2 linked regions of the Callithrix jacchus genome follow. The protein of the gene in region 2 binds, or shares a complex with, the protein of the main gene of each other region. Links are inferred from orthologs where the notes say so. Each region holds a gene or a part of one and is shown on either strand. Other genes may lie near its edges. The genes, in order: KREMEN1 and DKK1.

Region 1 (4,569 bases), on a different chromosome or scaffold from region 2:
CTCAGGGACGAGTGTACCCAAGGCAGGCGGGGGAGCCCGCGGGGCCGGTCCCGCCCAGCAGCGTTCTGGGTGCGGCGAGTCTGCACACTGGGGCAGATTTTCCTGCCGCCGCGCCGGGCGCAGGTCTGCACTTGCAAGCCCGGGACCAGGGACTTGAAAGCGCCCGGCACGCTGCCCGGACCTGCCCCGCCGGGCGCCACCGCCGCGCTTTAGGCGGGAGTCGTAGGAAAATCCCCTCTGCCTGGGGGGAGTGCAGGGGAGGAGCGCGGCCCACTACCGACCCCGGGTGCGTCAGGGGAAGACCTTGCCGGGGTGGGGCGGGGGTGGGGTGGGCAAAGGGCCTACCAAGCGGGGGACGAAAGTTTAATCAAGCCACGAGCTCCCGCATCCCTGACATCCCAGGCTGCAGAATAAGCAGCCCTGTCCGGTCCATTTCTGGACTTTGCGTTGGGCGTCGTACTTGCTTCTATCTCATCGAACCCTCTGAGGCCTTTTATTATTCCTATTCTGCAAACTACCGAGCCTCAGATCAGGAAACTTACCCTAGTTGGCGCTGGCTGTGTGAGGGGATACGGAACGAGGGGTCAGTATGTGACTGCAAACTTGGGGGTGGAGAAAGGATTTCAGCATTTGCTAAGCTCCTACTGTGCGTGCGTAAAAGTTTCCGAGCTTTCATTTTTTCTTTTTCTTTTTAAAGACCCGCCCCGCCGGTCTTGCTCTGTCTTACTGCAGTGGAGAGAACAAGGCTCACTGCAACACGGACCTCCCAGGCTCAAGCGATCCTTCTGCCTCAGCCTCCTGAGTAGCTGGGACCACTGATTGGTGTTTGTTGTTTATTTTCCTGTAGAGATGGGGGGGGGGTCTCGCTCTCTTCCCCAGGTTGGTCTCGAACTCCTGGCTCAAGCGACTCTTCCATCTCAGCCTCTCAAAGTGCTGGGATCATAGGAGTTAGTCACCGCGCCGGGCTCCAGGCATTCTTATTTAGTGCAACCGCTCTGGGGAGTAGTAGCTATTATCACCTTCATTTAACAGATGAGGAAATTGAGGTAAAAGCTATTTTTCCTTTAAACCTGCCCAAGGTCTTACAGGTGACCAAGTGGGATGTGAACTCTCCAAAGCATTCCTTTTTAATCATTACGACGAGCTAATCAAGGGAAAACAGTTTGCAAACTTCTGTTCTAATTATTACCGCTGTAGCTGAGCCCACGCGCGGGTCACGACCCGAGTGAGGGTGGAGCAGGGGTCACTGGGAGCCCGGCCTATTTCAGCCCCGCCAAACAGCTGGGTGACTCCGAGGCCCGGCCGAGGCCCCGCCCCGCACCTGCTGATCCTACCCCTGGATGGGACAAACAGAGCGCCCTGCGGGGCGGGCCCAGGTGTGGGTGAAAGGTGGGCGGGGCCTGATGCGTGAGTGGCAGGAGCGGCGAGAGGCCGGGGCGGGGCGTGCGTGCGCAGTGGGTTCCGCCCCCTGGGCCTCTCCGCGGAGCCTGGCGGGCCCCAGGCTGCAGGGGCGGTGGCGGCGCTGAGCGGGGCGGGCCGGGGCGGGCCGGGGCGGGGCCGCTGGGCAGCCGGGGCGGGGCCACACTCGGACCCCGTGTCCCGCTCCCATGGCCGCCCCCGGCTCCCCGTGCTGCCCCCTTTCCCCCGGGCCGCGCCCCGGGGCCCCGCACTGACGGCCCATGGCGCCGCCCGCCGCTCGCCTCGCCCTGCTCTCCGCCGCGGCGCTCACGCTGGCGGCCCGGCCCGCGCCCAACCCCGGCCTCGGCCCCGGACCCGGTGAGTGTGAGCGACCCCCAGCCGCCCGCCCTGCGCGGAGCCCACTCGAGGAGCGACCAGGGCTGGCCGGCCTGGGGGCCCCCCTCTCGCCTCAGGACCTTCCTGGCCCCTTCCCCGAGCCCCTTGGCGACGCCCCTCAGGCCTGGACGGTCCTTCCCTGGGACCCGTTTTCCCCCCCAGGCCCCTCAGCGACGCCCCCGGGCCCGGTGCCTTCCCCCGGCTGCAGGACCCGGTGTTCCTCAGCGACGACCCTCAGCCCAGGACGCCCTCTCCGCCTTGAGACCTCCAAGCCCCTCCGCGACGCCCCCTGGTCTGGGACATCTCCTCTGTCTCGGGACTCGGGACGCGCTGCCCGAGTCCCTCAGCGACACCAACCAGGCCGGGACGCCTCCTCTCCCCGGTACCTCCTGGGATCCCGCCCCAAACCCCTCAGCGACTCCGCCCGGGCCAGGACGCCCCCTGCTCCCCGGTACCTCCTGGGATCCCGCCCCAAACCCCAGCGACTTCCCCCGGGCCAGGATGCCCCCTGCTCCCCGTACCTCCTGGGATCCCATCCCCAAGTCCCCCATCGAGGCACCTTACACCGGGTTGGCTCCCCGGCTACAAGAGGCTACATCCCCGTCACCAAGACCCTCAGCGGCATCCCTACCCCGGGCCAGGGTCCCCTCCCCGAGCCTCACTACGACACCCCCGCATCCCCCCGTTCTCTCCTCCCTCCTACACCGGTGGAACCCGGCGCCTCCCCGCGTCGAGCCGAGTGGAGGCGGGAGGAGCCGGCGCTCAGCTCCTTTTCCCGAGTCCTCAGCTGCACCCGCTTGGGCGGACATTGTAACTTCTGCCTCACGAGGAACGGGATTGACTTGCTCGCCCTGCTAAAGGCAGGTTAGGGTCCTGGGACCACCCTGTACCCAGACGGGACGAGACGTGCCCTCTGTCCTCTGGGCCGCTTTGAACGTCCGTAAGACTCAGGTGATGGCTCAGCAGGGGGAGAGGAAGAAAGGAAGGGGTGATTGGAAACTTCTCCCCTACTGAGCTTAGGGTGCTCTTCCTGAGGGTGCAGCTCCGAGCTCCGTGTTTCGGGTTACCCCATGCCTTAAACAGGCCACTCACTGCCCAGGCCAAGCCCAAGGCCAGGTCTTTCTGAGGTGGGGCCCTGGACCTGGATGAAGCTTGAACTTCACTTAACTTCCACACACAACCTTGTAGCCGAATCCTTTCTAAGTTGAAGAGAAGGCAAGAGGGCGTTGCTTGGCGCGGTTACATTTCTCTGCAGGTTGTTTGGGTGTTGAGTATAGGACGTTTGTGAAAGGGATGAGAAGAGTTTATTACCCCTCTGCGGGAGTAGGCAAACCCGCCTCTGGGTTCTCCACCCAACGTCGCAGACTGATGTTGAAAAGATGAGATTTTGCTTGTGTAAGAAAACTCAGTTGCCTTGTTTACTCATTTGCTTGGATTAGTGAAAAAGCTAGGACTTGGTGTTGTCACTGCGTGACCTTGAGCCATGCCTTCAGCTCTCTGAGCCTCAGTTTCCTCATCTGTAAAGAGGATGATAACTTCTTTGCAGAGTGTTGTGAAGATTAAATGATACACTGTAGGTAACAGACCCACATATAGGAGGCAGTCAATAAACGTATTTCAATAATACTTTTATAGGGCCTCACAGTTCATCAAGTGCTAGACACCTCATTTACCCTGGGAATGATTAATTTCTGTAAAAGGCAAAGCTTGGCTTTAAATTGGTAGAACTGGGGTCTTCAAGTGTTGTAAACCTGAGGCTCAGTAAGTGGTTTCTGAGTGATCACCACCTTTTATGGGACTTCTACAATATGATCATTTCCACTGTTGTGAGGAGTGAGGGACATTCCGAGAGCCAGGATATGTCAACATAACTGTAACCTAGTAACCCCTTAGCTCAACTTTGCTATCTGTGTGGTCAGGATTTAATGTCCCCTACAAAGAGAAATGTATGGGTGGAAATAGACTGCTTCCCCTTCTGGAAAGGGCAGAGTCATAGCTCTGAAAAGCATCAAGTGAGCCAACTCTGCTCATGCTTGTTGGAAGGTATTCTTTTCCCAAGTATCTTTGCTTTTTTAAGGTCAAATGCAGCAGCTCTTAGGAAGTTTGCACCCCAAATCTTGGTGTGCTTTTATAAGAGTCTGGGGTTGGGGCAAATAACCATCGTGAAATGATTCGTGATAAGTGGTCCAAGTTCCCAGTTCCGTGAGCCTTGCCAGCTTGGTGTCTTACCATCCTGGTAAATCAGCGTTTTTTTGTTTTTACTTTTCCTGTTTAGTTGCAGAAGCAGTTTTAGGGAGATACCACATGGTCTTCAGCAACATATCCTGTCTAGATCCTACCCACTAGCTTTTAAAATCCTTTCCAATAAAACACACACACACACACACACACACACACACACACACACACACACACACACATTTTACTCTGAAGATATGCCAAGCTTGCCATTTTATATTTTTTGATACTGTAATTTTCTCTAAAATATTGTGGATGGAAAAAATTATTTCAATATTTATGTTCTGTACAATTTTGTAATATTTAAATTACTGGTGGTTTGCATTTTTGAATGCTGACTTTATAAAAACAGTTAGCTCATTCCCCATCAAGCCTACTTCTAATTACAATGTGTAGCCAACCCCAAATGATCTTCCTTCTCTTCATTCTTCCTTTAAGATTCTCTTCCTTCCTTCACAACTCATAAGAAGGAAGATAGAGGGTAATGGAATCTAGATTTTCCTTCAAGGAGGAGTACAGTTAGGGCTGTAGGGTTGA
Region 2 (4,314 bases):
TATGCTTTTAAGAACTATAAGCTGAAATGATTTATTTCAATTCAATATAGAATATTTGTCAGTCAAGATATCAATCAATGTGTACAAAAATTTACATAACAGAAGGAATAATGGGCAGTGCAGCACCTTTAGAAAAATAATTAAAAGTTTTGTTGCATTTACAGGTAAGTGCCACACTGAGAATTTACAATACAGTAATTTACTGCAATCACAGGGGAGTTCCATAAAGAAACAAAGCTCTTACACTCCAGATTTTTGAAAGGTGTTATTGGAATGCTTAACTGAAACCACAGAACTTGTATATCCGTAGGATTGAGTTGATGAAGGTCGTGAAAGATTTTCGTATCATCTATTATATAAAAGGAGTTCACTGCACTTGGATAGCCGATTTAGTGTCTCTGACAAGTGTGAAGCCTAGAAGAATTACTGGCTTGATGGTGATCTTTCTGATTCCGGCAAGACAGACCTTCTCCGCAGTAACAGCGTTGGAATATTTCCAGCCCATGGGAGCCTTTTCGTCTGTGTTTGGTACACACTTGACCTTCTTTGAGGACAGGTTTACAGATCTTGGACCAGAAGTGTCTAGCACAACACAATCCTGTGGCGCAGTCTGACGATCGGAGACAGACAGAACCTTCTTGTCCTACACAGGAGAAGACAGCAGAAAAAAAGTACACAGTTACTGGTAAACCTGCATCATTTCATTAAATAATTCAAAAGACACCTCTGATGTGCTAAAAATGAGTCTTAACATCTTACCTTTGGTGTGATACATTTTTGAAGACAATGTAGTTCTTCTAGAATATCCATCCAAGGTGCTATGATCATTACCAAAGCTTTCAGTGATGGTTTCCTCAATTTCCTCTCGGAAATGAGTTTGCTCAGAAGACACACATATTCCTAAGGAAGCAGGAAATAGTGATTAACTTCAGGGTTGTAATGCATTACTGCTAACAGCTCTGACAGTGGCAGTCTGCTATGCCAGCACCAACTTGAGATACTTCGTTGCAGTGACATCATTTTAAAAACAAGCCGAACTTCCTCTCTACTGTTAAGGCAAAGCTCTCCAGATGGACAGAAGCACCAATGTGTACACTGTATCCAGTCAGTCATATGTTACATACCTAGTATAGCCGTTCAAAATACTTTCCCACCAACTGTGGTAGGGGCAAGTGAGATTTATGCCCATTTTAATATTACCCTTGGGTTAAGAAATAGAAAATCAGTCACTTAAAAAATGTTCTTAAAAATAACTTCTCTCCCCCTGGTGCTATGTGGGTACTGCCAGACTAAGTTAAGCAAATGCAATTCCAGCTGCCTGGAACATTGCAGTCTCACCCACCAGTTACTTTACTGTGTAATTTCTATATTACAGAGATTCAGTTAGCTCATCCCGGAGTACTGCTGGGTCCTAAGGAGGGCCGTCGCCCTGTTAGTTTATTTCGGGAGACCTCTTTAGCTGTTTAAATCCACCTCTTTGAAAAACTAAGAGTCAGTGGATCTGTGGTTGGGGGAAGAGTACCTATACTAAGGCAGCAGAGGGGAGAGGGAGGGGGAAGGATGGAGAGGTCAGGCTGTGCGCCTATCAAGATCTCTCTTGAAAACGGCCAATGCTGATAAATCACTGTCCTCTGGCCGACAACAGTTTCACCAAGGATCAGAAGGAGAGGCCAGTCTGGCAGAGCTGTGAGAGACAGAGTAAGAAAAATGGAAAGGGCAGCTGAACGCCAAAGCTGGTTTCTTTGGTCTCTCTGTATGATCCAGCCGTCCTACCCATCACCCCTCTTCTCAATTGACCTCAAGGTTCTCCCCAGACACATTTTTATGGAAGCGTCCACTACGAGGTAAGCCATTGTGTTAAATCATTGAGGGACCCAGAGGAAGATAAGGACCTCAGAGACCTCCGAACTTCTCTCTCCTTCCCGATCAAACACTTGCAATGAAGAAGATAACTTCAGCTGAATCTTGACTGCTGTACACCCATTAGCAGGTGGCGCCGCAGTGTTCTCAGGGCGGAGATTCCCCGCGCCTCCCCCCTCCCCCCCACCAACCCCATTTATAGAGGCTCAAAGGCCGGGCAGTTTTCGTGTGAAAGGGAGCTTTCAGAACTCACCATTTTTGCAGAAATTCCCGGGGCAGCACATAGCGTGACGCATGCAGCGTTTTCGGCGCTTCCTGCAGGCGAGACAGATTTGCACGCCCGCGTCCCCTCCGCGGGTGGGACTAGCGCAGTACTCATCGGTGGCGCACTCCTCGTCCTCTCCGCACGGGTATGGCTGTGGGAAGGGTTCGGGGAGAGGGTGAGGCATCCAGACGTTCAGGTACCCTCACTAGTGGACCTGATCACAGTCCCTATCTGTCCCCCTCTCCAGGACCTGTTACCATCCACGGCTCCCAAATGCAGTGTTACCAAATGCTCGCTGAAACGCACACACTCATCACGTTCTACTCCCTCCTCTCCAGATACGACCCTTTCAAGGTCACAGCATCCCCGGATTCCCCGACGCCTCTCACCTGGTAGTTGTCAATGGTCTGGTACTTATTCCCGCCAGGGTACAGAATTCCCGGCGCGGCGCTGACTGCAGAGCCCGAGTGCCCCGCAGCGCCGCCCAGCGGTGGGGGCAGGTTCTTGATGGCGTTGGAATTGAGAACCGAGTTCAAGGTGGCGCTCGCTCCCAGCAGAGGGTGGCCGCCGAGAGCCGCCGCTACCAGCGCAACCAAGACCCGGGCAGCTCCCGCTGCGCCCAGAGCCATCATCTCAGAAGGACTCAAGAGGGAGAAAGAGAAAATGACTGTCACTTTGCAAGCCTGGGTCCCCGCGAAACCGTGTCGGTGCGGCTGCACAGTCAGGGTTCCGGGAGCCCCCTGCGGTCCCAGAGTCCCGACTGCAGGGAGCACAGAGCTCTGAGCCGCCACCGCCACCGCGGCTGCCTTTATACCGCCGGCCCGGAGCATTCCGGCCCCTTGGGAGCGAGACAACAAAGCCGGGATGGGATTTCAAAGCGCTGGGAGGGGCTGGGAGGGGGTGTGTTTGTGTACATGAAGGGGGGGCTTTGACACTCTTCACCCACCGCCCTTGCTGGGTCGCTCGGCCCGCCCGGCTCACCTTCGGGGTGAGGGCGACCAGCGAGCATCAGAGCAGACGACTTTAATAAATGCAGGCGGCAGGAGGAACTCTGAGAACAGGGGTGCCCTTGCCTGGCGGTAAGGGTTGGATTATCCGGATCTGAAATACTTTTCAGAGCCGAGGGGGTGACACGCTCTGCAAAAGCACTTTTCGCCCCTCTCGCTTACGCCAACACTCGCTGACTGTGCACACAAGTCGTATTCAGTATTAAATACAAACCGATCTGTAATTCAGTGGCTCTAGCAAGACGCCTCTTTGCTCATTACTCATTAACCCTTTAAGAGTCGCAGCTTGTAGATCTGAGTTAGGTCCCTGGCTTTAAGGTCGTTCCGTTGCCCTCCTCCTCCCTCCCCCCGCCACTGCGATAAAAATGTGCAAAGAGGAGATTTGCACATCAAACGAGGGTAAGAAGGAAGAGGAGCTGATTCTCTTTTGATGGGAAGTTTAGAGAGGGAGGCGAGAGACTGGCGTTTAGAAATTAGATCAAGGTTGGAGTGGAGAGGGAAATGCCCGTCCGATAATCAAACTATTTAATGTTGTTCTTTGAATCAGGGCAGTCGCGGCAGTAGATGAACTTGATTAGGCAGACGAGTGAGATCAAAGTGGCCGGGGCCAAAGCGGACGGGGTCCAACGTGCCGGGTCAGTCGCCTTTCTCGGGTTCTGCCTTCTCAGTGGTGGGCTAATGCGGGGAGATAAGAAACCCTTAGGGCTTAGATCCCGACTTCCTCATTAGCAAACGGTTTCACAAGGCTTCCCAACGCAGTGTTTGCTCCCAAGTCAAACCTTGCACAGGACCACGCAATACACCTTCTAGGGAGATAAACTACGTGGAGGAGGAGAGCTGAAAGTGAATTAGACAGTGAATCTGACGTCATTGAAATTGCTGTGTAGATAGAATAAAGTAAGGCTGATATATAAGAATGGCATCATGCTTATAAATGGAAAGTCATCTATTTAATTCAACAAAAACACATTGGAAGCCTAGAGCCCTGGTACTGGGTGGCCCTCTGGGTTGTTGCCTCATTGTTTTAATGTTTAGGTGAGATGGGTGGTGGGGGAAAGGGCACAGTGAATACTAATATTTATGAGACAGAGTTCTCATTTTAGAGAATAAAGTTCTCTTTATTCTAATTACAGTAATAAAAGATGTAACAATAAAATTATAGAAATAAATATAAAAAATGTA

The links.
Region 1: the proteins of DKK1 (region 2) and KREMEN1 are in contact, whole or in part, in a crystal structure (PDB 5FWW), measured with the Homo sapiens proteins. The link is inferred for Callithrix jacchus from reciprocal best matches to the Homo sapiens genes DKK1 and KREMEN1. Residues at the interface, in NP_036374.1 of Homo sapiens: Cys189, Leu190, Arg191, Ser192, Ser193, Cys201, Arg203, Trp206, Ser207, Lys208, Lys222, His223, Arg224, Arg225, Lys226, Gly227, His229, Gly230, Leu231, His261; in XP_011528731.1 of Homo sapiens: Pro67, Asn88, Asp90, Asp92, Ser94, Trp96, Gly105, Val106, Tyr107, Trp108, Tyr110, Asp127, His128, Gly129, Pro132, Thr140, Asn142, Glu164, Ser165, Tyr167, Ala168, Phe170, Asn189, Val191, Phe193, His196, Asp203, Gly204.

Annotation. Positions count from the first base shown.
Region 1 is NC_133502.1:199,743,391-199,747,959, forward strand, and holds the start of KREMEN1 (kremen protein 1), read left to right. Parts: upstream 1-1,583; 5' UTR 1,584-1,679; coding exon 1,680-1,776; intron 1,777-4,569. UniProt on the Homo sapiens protein: Receptor for Dickkopf proteins. Cooperates with DKK1/2 to inhibit Wnt/beta-catenin signaling by promoting the endocytosis of Wnt receptors LRP5 and LRP6.
Region 2 is NC_133513.1:77,885,057-77,889,370, forward strand, and holds the start of DKK1 (dickkopf-related protein 1 precursor), read right to left. Parts: upstream 2,938-4,314; 5' UTR 2,758-2,937; coding exon 2,515-2,757; intron 2,277-2,514; coding exon 2,114-2,276; intron 901-2,113; coding exon 760-900; intron 644-759; coding exon 390-643; 3' UTR 1-389. UniProt on the Homo sapiens protein: Antagonizes canonical Wnt signaling by inhibiting LRP5/6 interaction with Wnt and by forming a ternary complex with the transmembrane protein KREMEN that promotes internalization of LRP5/6.